3 linked regions of the Yarrowia lipolytica genome follow. The main gene of each other region encodes a partner of the protein of the gene in region 2 in a complex. Links are inferred from orthologs where the notes say so. Each region holds a gene or a part of one and is shown on either strand. Other genes may lie near its edges. The genes, in order: YALI1_F29192g, YALI1_D06380g and YALI1_F32312g.

What was found.
Region 1: YALI1_D06380g (region 2) and YALI1_F29192g share a complex: the UniProt entries of both Saccharomyces cerevisiae proteins name them as parts of the 2-(3-amino-3-carboxypropyl)histidine synthase complex. The link is inferred for Yarrowia lipolytica from reciprocal best matches to the Saccharomyces cerevisiae genes CBR1 and DPH1.
Region 3: YALI1_D06380g (region 2) and YALI1_F32312g share a complex: the UniProt entries of both Saccharomyces cerevisiae proteins name them as parts of the 2-(3-amino-3-carboxypropyl)histidine synthase complex. The link is inferred for Yarrowia lipolytica from reciprocal best matches to the Saccharomyces cerevisiae genes CBR1 and KTI11.

What each region holds. Positions count from the first base shown.
Region 1 is NC_090775.1:2,917,467-2,921,272, forward strand, and holds YALI1_F29192g (uncharacterized protein), read right to left. Parts: upstream 1,829-3,806; coding exon 509-1,828; downstream 1-508. Other genes in the region: YALI1_F29196g (uncharacterized protein), read left to right, coding at 2,215-3,806. UniProt on the Saccharomyces cerevisiae protein: Catalyzes the first step of diphthamide biosynthesis, a post-translational modification of histidine which occurs in elongation factor 2.
Region 2 is NC_090773.1:636,580-639,627, reverse strand, and holds YALI1_D06380g (uncharacterized protein), read left to right. Parts: upstream 1-1,567; coding exon 1,568-2,440; downstream 2,441-3,048. UniProt on the Saccharomyces cerevisiae protein: NADH-dependent reductase for KTI11/DPH3 and cytochrome b5. Required for the first step of diphthamide biosynthesis, a post-translational modification of histidine which occurs in elongation factor 2.
Region 3 is NC_090775.1:3,229,405-3,232,064, forward strand, and holds YALI1_F32312g (uncharacterized protein), read left to right. Parts: upstream 1-1,801; coding exon 1,802-2,011; downstream 2,012-2,660. Other genes in the region: YALI1_F32305g (40S ribosomal protein eS8), read right to left, coding at 553-1,149. UniProt on the Saccharomyces cerevisiae protein: Required for the first step of diphthamide biosynthesis, a post-translational modification of histidine which occurs in elongation factor 2.

The sequences.
Region 1 (3,806 bases), on a different chromosome or scaffold from region 2:
AACTCCGATGACCTGTTACCCTACATTGACATGGTACTTTTACGAAATGACTTGCGAGACAAAATGAGGAGACCGCTGGGGGAATATCGTCTCATCTGTTTATCTCAGCTGTTATGTTGTTGTTTTTATTCTAATGGGGTGTAAGAAAAACGCACCCTCCAAGGCACAAGGGATGGACAAATTAGCGCTGCACGTCGACGTGGTGTAGAACCGATAAGGCCTGATTGCGTCTACACGTGGGTTCGATTTTGGTTGTGACGCATTTAAGAAACTGCAAATTGATTGTGTGAAATATTCCCTCTGGTACTACTGTAATACGCTTTCTGGTACCACGTATCCAATATACTGTAAGTACGACGTAGGCCGAAATGGTCGCGCCGTGTGCATAACATCTACTGTAATTCTAGAATACCTCTCCCCTCGGCTTACCTAATATATATATACACCTGTTACTTTTATATAGACACACTGATACCATCGGCTGTGTCAAACCCCCAATTGCTCCTCTCTAAATGGCAATCTCCTTCTTTGCTCGAGGCTGCTTACCTCGTCCATATCCCTCCTTTCCATAGTAATCCATGGGGTAGTCGTTACCCTCTAAAGTGTCCTCGTCCATCATAACCATCGCCTCGTAGGGAGTCAGCAGAGGTTTAGGGAATGCGTAGCCCCAATCAATAGAAAGACGGGGGCACGCAACCTGCACCCACGCGTCAACACCGTCGAATAAGGCCAGCTTAGCTGGGAAGATCTCACTCAGAAGAACAATGTGTGTCTCATAGCCCTTAGAGTTGAGCTTCTCCTGCAGCATATCCAGAGTAGCAGTGTTTCCCTGTCGTCCCAGGGTCCCCAGAATGAGTCCTATGGTCTTGGCGTTCTTGGCTGTCTGGATGGCGCGTTTTCGCACGCTGACCATCTCAACCTGGTCAAAGTACTCCCTAGTGAGCTTTCTTGAGTAGGGATCGTATCTGTATGCAGGTATGTCGGGGTTGTGGATCATGGCTGACTCGAGATGGAACCGTCCGTCTCCGATGTACATAATCATATCGTAATCTTCAGTAGACATGTTTGCAGAAGTGCATCCCAGAACCTCACCTTTCGACAGAGGCATGATCTGAGGAGCAGTGCATACGATTCCAGCTTCGTTTAGGAGTCGATCCTTGAGTGTGTGGATGGTAGGGTTGAACTGGATGGTTCCCACCATGGCCATGCGAGTTCCAGTCTCGAAATTCTTCTTGAACGACTTAACGACATGGTCAGTATCAATCTCGATGGTGACAAAGACATAAAGGACCTTGATTTTGATGGAGTCGATGGGAACCAGACAGGAGTGTGCATAATGAATCAGGAAGTCACATCCCAGGGCGATAGCTGAGAAGTCATCAACGCAGCATGCACCATAAGTCACATCTCCCATGACAACTGTACTAATATCGGGTCCACAGAACTGCTCAATAATATCGGAAATGATGCAGGCGTAAATGAGAAGACCCTCGGGCATCTGAAGGGCAATCTTCTTGCAGTTGTTCTTTCGGATGTGCCAAATACTCTTGTGGATCTCAAAGTTGTAGTTTTTGGGCAGCGTCGTTGCAATCACTTCATTGAGCTCCTCATCGTTCAGAATCTCGTCGGGAATCTGGTTAATGATTCGTGGACGTCTGGTGGTGTTCTTGACGAGAGAAGTGGATGCAGAGGGCCCTGAGCCGTTAGCACGGCCCACAAAACGCTTTCGGGGCTGTGTGGAAGTTGATTTTTTGCATGTATCGGGGTCACAGGGAGCTACCGGGGTGGCAGTCGTACTCTTACACTCACCAGATGCTGAACACGACATTTCTGAGGGATTCGATGATAAGTTACACAGGGACGATTTTATGCATGCTGAAAATTTATTTAGGTTGGGTGATTAGGGATGCATTGCTGGGAATCGAACCCACTACAGGGTGTTTCTGCCGAAATTGCTTTCTACGGATTTGATGAGCAAGGCTTTTGAAGCAGATCACTACGTTTATCTGAGTCATGAAGTCGTTGGAGTGATTTTAGGACCGCCTCGTGTCTTAGGTGCTCTTTTCACCGACTTCTCTACCCCAGTGGCAAAATTAAACTTTGCTTTCTGACGAGGCTTGGACTGTCTGAGGCGTGCTCTAAACAAAGTTACGATGATATGCAAGAGATGCATAAAAATAATTTTTTGTTTCCTCTTCATCAAGGCGGCACACAATGATCACTCCCGACTTTACTGTGGATCAGGACGAGGACTTTGTGTTCGTGAACATCAAGGCACCCCATATTCGTGTCGCCAACATCGAGATTGTGGTGGATGGCGAGCTCTTCGTGTTCTCGTTAGCACCCTATTATCTGCGGTTGCGATTTCCTGGTCGACTTTTGGACGAAGATGAGGAGGAGGTAGAGATGGTAAAGAAGCAGATCAGCGATGCCAATCTCGATAAAAAAACATTGGGTCCAGGTGATCCGAAATCAGACGACAATTCGACCGACAAGAAGGAGGCTACTCTGATTGAAGAGGTGTCGACCAAGCCTCTGATAGAAGAGATCACAGAGACTAAGAAGGAATCGGAACCTAACGCCAAGAAGCGAAACTACGACGAGATGGCCACGTCGACTTTGGTGGAAGAGGTTCGGCCCAGCAAGTTCCTTCTGGAAGAGAACACCTCTCAGCCTCTAGTTGAGGAGGTGGAGCAGGTCAAGGTCAAGCCTCTGGTTGAGGAAGTTGGCGGTGGAGGGCTGCTAATTGAGGACATCACCGAGAAGACGGACGGCGACGAGGCTGTCACTAAAATCGACATCAAGAGGCGTCCAAAGGTGACCAAGGCTACTGCTACATACGATCTGGGAAGCTCTACCATCAAATGTCGAATCCCCAAGGAGGAATCTGGTATGTGGAAGGACATTGATATGATTGGAAAGCTTCTGGCTCGTCAGAATGAGACCCAAGTGATGGACGATCTTCGAAAAACTGTCATTGAGGAGCTGGATGGAAATGACAACGAGACTGAGCCTACAGAGCTCCAGGAGGCTGATGCATTTGACTGGGAGATCAAACAGGAAATCCCGAAGCTGGGTGAAGACAGCCACGTTCGATACGGCTGGCAGGGAGGATACAACGGTGCTGTGGGTGTCAGTGTGGCTAAGGGTAACGATGTTAACGAGATCGTTGATCCTGAGATGAACGGAGTCGACGAGGAGGCTAGAAAGGAGCTGAGAACAGACATTGAACAGTCACGTTTTAACCCAGGCTACTATCTATCCGATCTGCTTGAGAACGATATGGTCCCCGAGTATCTTCATTACGAGCTTCCTAAGGAATTTTGGAAAGAGAACAAGAGCGACATGTTATTGTCAGGCGAAGAGAATCGTGTTCTGAGCGAGATTATGTCAAAATCTCGGTCGAAATCAGCGTACAAGAACATTTCCGATCCTAAAAAGGCCTACATTGGACTGTTAAACCTTCTGTTCTCCTTCTTTTACGACATTCGAACCACATTCAACGATCATACTGTCGAATCCCCATGGACGATTGGTAAGTTGACTCCTCAGTTTGCCTCTTTGGATGATTCTTTCTACACCGTCTCTGAAGCTGTGATTGCGAGCAGTAGACGTGCGCTCACGTATCCCCTGGTGCGAAGTTTCGGACTGGTTCTTGAGATCTGGAAGGATGTTTCCAAGGTGATCAAGTCTGGCAAGCGGGCTATTCTCAAGGTGCTTCTGGAGCTGTACAAGCTCTTCTCAGTGCACGACCTCTATTATGTTTATGCTGACATCTGGCTTAAGGACTACATTGGATGGATCCA
Region 2 (3,048 bases):
ACTCACGCTTCTTGGAGAGAGCAGTAACTAGATATGACTGTACACCCCAAAGCAGCTGAAGATGGACTGAAAAGACCGAAGGATCCAATGGAAGCAATCACTTTGACATTTCTGATTCTATCTAGTCACGTGACAACGACAACAACTTGAGGGAGAGGTTGTACCATGTCATCATAGTGTTGTAAACATCATCTATAGCGCAATTGAAGACCCAGGGGTGACTTGAGATTCCAAAAGTGTATCAAAAGAGGACTTTCAATAGTTTGAAATCGTTCACCTGTTGTATATCTAGAGACACACCCACACCAACCCCAAGTCTGTCCTCAATACTGACTCTGGAAACAGAACATCCAAAACACTTCAAAAGTACAGGTGAAGTGACCAATATGAAACTACCGGGAATATAAACCGTTTCTTAAATGTTCAAGTTCATCAATAAGCCAGATAATCTCAAGACACGAGTCAATATCGACTCTTTTTGACTCACAATGTATGTACGCCGCACTATCCGATCGAAAACACACTTCTGATAACAACATCAACAAGCCAAAAGTGTTAGAATAATCGCAAAAGAATCCACCGTGTACAGCACAAGTGCACGGGTTTCGATCCTGACTCATCAGGATTTCACAGCAACATCTACACTTTCAAACCAAGGTTCACCTAGCCCAATCTGGATCCCCTCCAACTTGTTCATTTTTGCTCGAATCGCTTCAAAATTCGAGCAGTTGACTGTGGGTGTCACAATTAGTTATCTCCCTTACTTTCCGCCATGTTTCTCTCCTATATTATCTTCAAAAATCGCCCTCTTCAGATTTGCTACCATCTCATGATAGCGGCACTTTATACACCATTAGGTTATTCACCAAATGAGAGCAGTGAGTGACAGATGCGAGAAAAGCCAGTCTGACTCATAACCTGGCTCACTCATATCACACACTTGCTCAGCAACTGACTCAGGTCAGGGCCAGGTATACATTGCTTCCCTCCTCTCGCTGACTAATCCATCTCATGCAGCTGCATTCCGCAACTAACCACTTTTTCAACTCACCTAAAGCTAGCTTCCCCAACGGTTCCAGTTAGCATATCTTTTGTTGACCCGATAATGCACAGGTCACGTGACAGACACCTGACCGTCCGCGCTCGTCCAATTGTTGCCTCTTTTGGCATGTGGGACTTGGTGTGGAGCGTGTGGAACATGTTCCTAGAGGAACCAGACAAAGATGAGATCTCACACAGTTCTCTTTGTCACATGTCATGCGATTTTCCACACCATAAAAAAAAAGTGTGTGAAATGTGGGGACAAACTCAACGTGGACTGAGGGTGCTATACTTAGATGGCTAACAATGGGAGACAAGTAATGGTGGAGTACCAGAGAGATTTTTGCCGATTATGTAAAAAAAAAAGGAATTGACTCATTTGCTGTTGATGTAATACTGCCTGGTTTCTGACTCACCCGACTGTAGACCTTCTATTCTGACCCGGTATCCATTTATCACATTCTACTACAAAACTTTATCCATAACGTGCGTGTCACTATATTAAACGCCTATTTCCATCACCATCATGCGCTCCTCTTCTTCACGACAACCTCAAATGCAGTCCTATTACGCCATCGCCACCGTGTGGGCGCTCATCATTGGCGCCGCCACCTACTACTTCTTCTCCAACTCCAAGCCCAAGGCTGTCTTGCAGCGAGGAGATACGGCCTTCAAGGAGTTCCCTCTCATCCAGAAGACGGTGCTCTCTCACAATTCGGCCATCTATCGATTTGGCCTGCCCCGACCCTCCCACGTGCTGGGTCTGCCCATCGGACAGCACGTGTCGCTTTCTGCCAACATTGGAGGCAAGGAGGTGCTGCGTTCCTACACCCCCACCTCGTCCGACCTGTACGACAAGGGCTACTTCGACATTCTCATCAAGACCTACCCCCAGGGAAACATCTCCAAGTACGTGTCTGAGCTGGCCATTGGTGACACTATGAAGGTGCGGGGCCCCAAGGGCAACTTTGTCTACAACCACGGCCTGGTCGAGTCCTTCGGCATGGTTTGTGGAGGAACCGGCATCACCCCCATGTACCAGATTCTGCGACACATTGCCGCCGATCCCGCCGACAACACCAAGGTTAACCTCGTCTACGCCAACGTGAACCACGACGACATTCTGCTCAAGAAGGAGCTGGACGCCATTGCCGCCGAGAACGACAACATCAAGATCCACTACGTGCTCAACAACGCTCCCGAGGACTGGACCGGTTCCGTGGGCTTTGTCACCAAGGAGATTCTCGAGAAGCACTGCCCCCCTCCTGGCCCCAACACCAAGCTGCTTCTGTGTGGCCCCCCTCCCATGATCTCTGCTCTCAAGAAGGCTTCCGTCGAGCTCGGATACGAGAAGGCCCGACCTGTCAGCAAACTTGAGGATCAGGTCTTTGCCTTTTAAACACAGCTGAGCGACAAAAGAGTTGCCTGCAAACTAGACTCAAGTCATAGATAATGAATTACGTTGAATGCTAGAGAAGGCGGTATTAACAGAGCGAGACTGGCTGTATATCAGAATCTGGCAGTTTTGGAGGTTGTTGAGACAGCCCTATATAGTCTAGACGACATCTGTCTACAGTACAGCTAGCTGTATCAAAGTACTTACGATAGATACGAGTAGTAGTTTCCCCAGACGATGCGATCATTAGCCTTGCTGATTAAAGCTGAACCATCACGTATTATTGACACTATATCAATTTACTTCAACATTTACAGAGCTAGTTAACAAAGTACTTACATTAGCTCAGTAATTACTGAGTTCACCCACACTTATTAAGTAAATAATTAACAAAGCTTCAAGGCTCGTGGATACAGACACTTCAATGCCCATACCTAGTGCAAACACATAGCAACCACCATTGGTAACAGTATCGCTCCGTAGTCTGGGGCCAGATACAGAAGGCATCTATAATTTCAGCCTTATACTCACTTGTATTGGAAGGAATGTGAGAGTCATCATCATCAGCTTACATACACAGTACACACATCGTCGACTGGCATTGAACATCA
Region 3 (2,660 bases), on a different chromosome or scaffold from region 2:
GCCACGCCTGTGTTCTACAGTACGAGTATTGCAGCTTGTGTCTGACTAACTGTATTATCAGAAGACAGTTAAGGACAACACAATTCACTCAGGAGCAAGTTGGGACAGCACAAAGCCTCTTCTTGTAGCTACAATATATACAGTAATTACGACACCGTAGGGGCGTCCATGCACCTGAACAAATTAATATAGAGATAAATCTGCAAAGCGCTATTACACAGATCGTCAAGACCTCCAAGAGAGTGTGCCAAAGAGTCATATAGGAAAGGTCGTTTTGCCTCCATTTGCGACAAGTTGTGTAGCCCACCGGACAGTTGATTTGAAATATTTTCACCCAGTAAACACGGTCACGAAGAACTCACCAAATGATGATTCTAAACCAAGACCAAACCAACTAATTCCCATTATCACAAAACCTTTCCGTAGATACCCCAACCAATACACAGGCGACAGACAACAACAAGTACTACTATCTACAACGTACAAACACCTGCGGTATTTGAACCCATCTCAGTTCATTTTCACGTGCAATAATACATTTTAGTTTTGTGTCTACTTCTTGGAGACAATCTTCTTGAGGTAGAAAGCAAGCTCCTCTCCCTCGAGAACGTAACCGTCAACTCGGCCGGACTGACCGGGTCGAGAAGAAACGCAGGCGTAGAGTCGGCCAGCACCGAACTGAGCCTCGACGGCAGGGTCGAGCTTGGCATCAGCCTGTCGGGCAGCAACGGCAGCCTGGTCAGCCTCAGCAATGACGGGCTCCTCCTGGCCAGCCTTCTTCTTGCCGAGAGACTTGCCGTAGTAGGACTCGTACCACTGTCGGAAAGGAGTGGCATCAATCTGGACAATGGCAGACTTGGTCAGAGTGTTGGTTCGGATAAGCTCGTTGTTGGAGGGGTGGAAAGAGACACCGAGGACTCGGGTCTTTCGGGTGGTTCCCTCAGAGCCCCAGGAGAAGTTGCCGGTCTCGATTCGGATGGCTCGGAACTTCTTGTTACCACCACGGGTTCGGACGGTGTGGATTCGCTTGGGGCCGATTCGGGTGACGGCACCCTGTCGACCGCACTCGAACTTTCGCTTCTTGTGGATGGAGACACGCTTGGCGCCGGTGTGGGATCGCTTGTGTCGGGAGTCTCGAGAAATACCCATGGTTGTCGTGGAGTGCTGAGAATTGGTGGGAGGTTTGATTTTTTGTCAGAGGTGGGAGCAGAGTTTCCGAGTTTCCTTTTCAGAAAGCAGTCACAAAGTCACGTGTGACTCAGAGTTAATTTGGACGTTTGAGTATTAGGGTTCAAATTGTCGTGTGTTCGAATCTGGGAGACGGCGCACTTAATAGGTGAAATTGGATGAGCAGATGTTTTTAAAACGACGTGAGGGCATCCGTGGTTCGATGCTATGTACACACTACAAATACGTCAACACACAAATAACAGCCGTCTCCACCACTAGACGTCGATGATTCTATGATCGTCGCCCCCCACCCCTTGACACCACCACATCCTCGTTGGTTTCCTTTTTTTCGTCTCTATAAACCTGCCAGGCCCCAAAATCATGTACATAAATACTCAAAATATCAATCTATCTACCCACCACTACTACTTATTTGTACCGTCTTATATCTCAACTATCTAATATATCTGATCGATCTAATACCTTCCGCGAGTATCTCATCTCGTAGTAAGCCCCCTATAACCCTAACCCAACACCCTCTTTACGTGTAATCGTGCTTCTGACATGCGCAATTTGAAATTTTCGAACAGATGTCTTCAGCTACCCCTGTGGCGTTCGTTACTTGCACCCCATGTCTTTCTACGACGAAATCGAAATCGAAGACATGATCTTCGACGCGGATCAGGGTATCTTAACGTATCCTTGTCCGTGTGGCGACAAGTTCCAGATTGCCCTGGACGACCTCAAGGATGGCGAAGAGGTAGCCGTCTGTCCCTCGTGCAGTCTCATGATCAAGGTCATTTTCGACCCCGAGGACCTTGAGCAGTTTGAAGAATCGTGACGAAGAGGTGCTCTATAGCACTAGTCAAAATTCAGATTATGACTGGAAACTGTCATACACGACACCCTCACTATGAACTGTTCTGTCACGACTTCTACGACATATGTCATGGGCCCCCTCCACACACTCTCAAACACACACACACACACACACACACACACACACATACATTCAGGTCACGCGGACTACTCACATATCCGTGTGACAAGGTAAGAAGCAATCGTTGTGTCTTGGTCCACATATCTATTTATTCACTAATGGAAAAAGAAGCAAACATGCAACTCTAGTTAGCACGGCGTCCATGTATTTATCTGTATTTGTTCCTCACACTCGATTGGGAATAGCTACAAGTACTCGTCTTATAGTTGAATTCACGCGACCGTAAGGTTGAAGAAGAAAATAGGATGGATAGGACGATGACATCACTTTACTTGTTCCCTTGCCATGCTGGCAGCTGTATAGTAAGCGCCACTAGGTGTCTGTGTCTATCAGCTACCTAGATCTTCCTTGCTTATAGAAGTGTACAGATACTTCTCTTCGAACTTGTTCTGCGCAGATCACCTTCCGTTATCAGGAATACGATTTAGGACGCTCACAATTACGATTCAGCGTCTCTCGGAGCTTCGAGGCATTTGTCTAGCGACAAGGT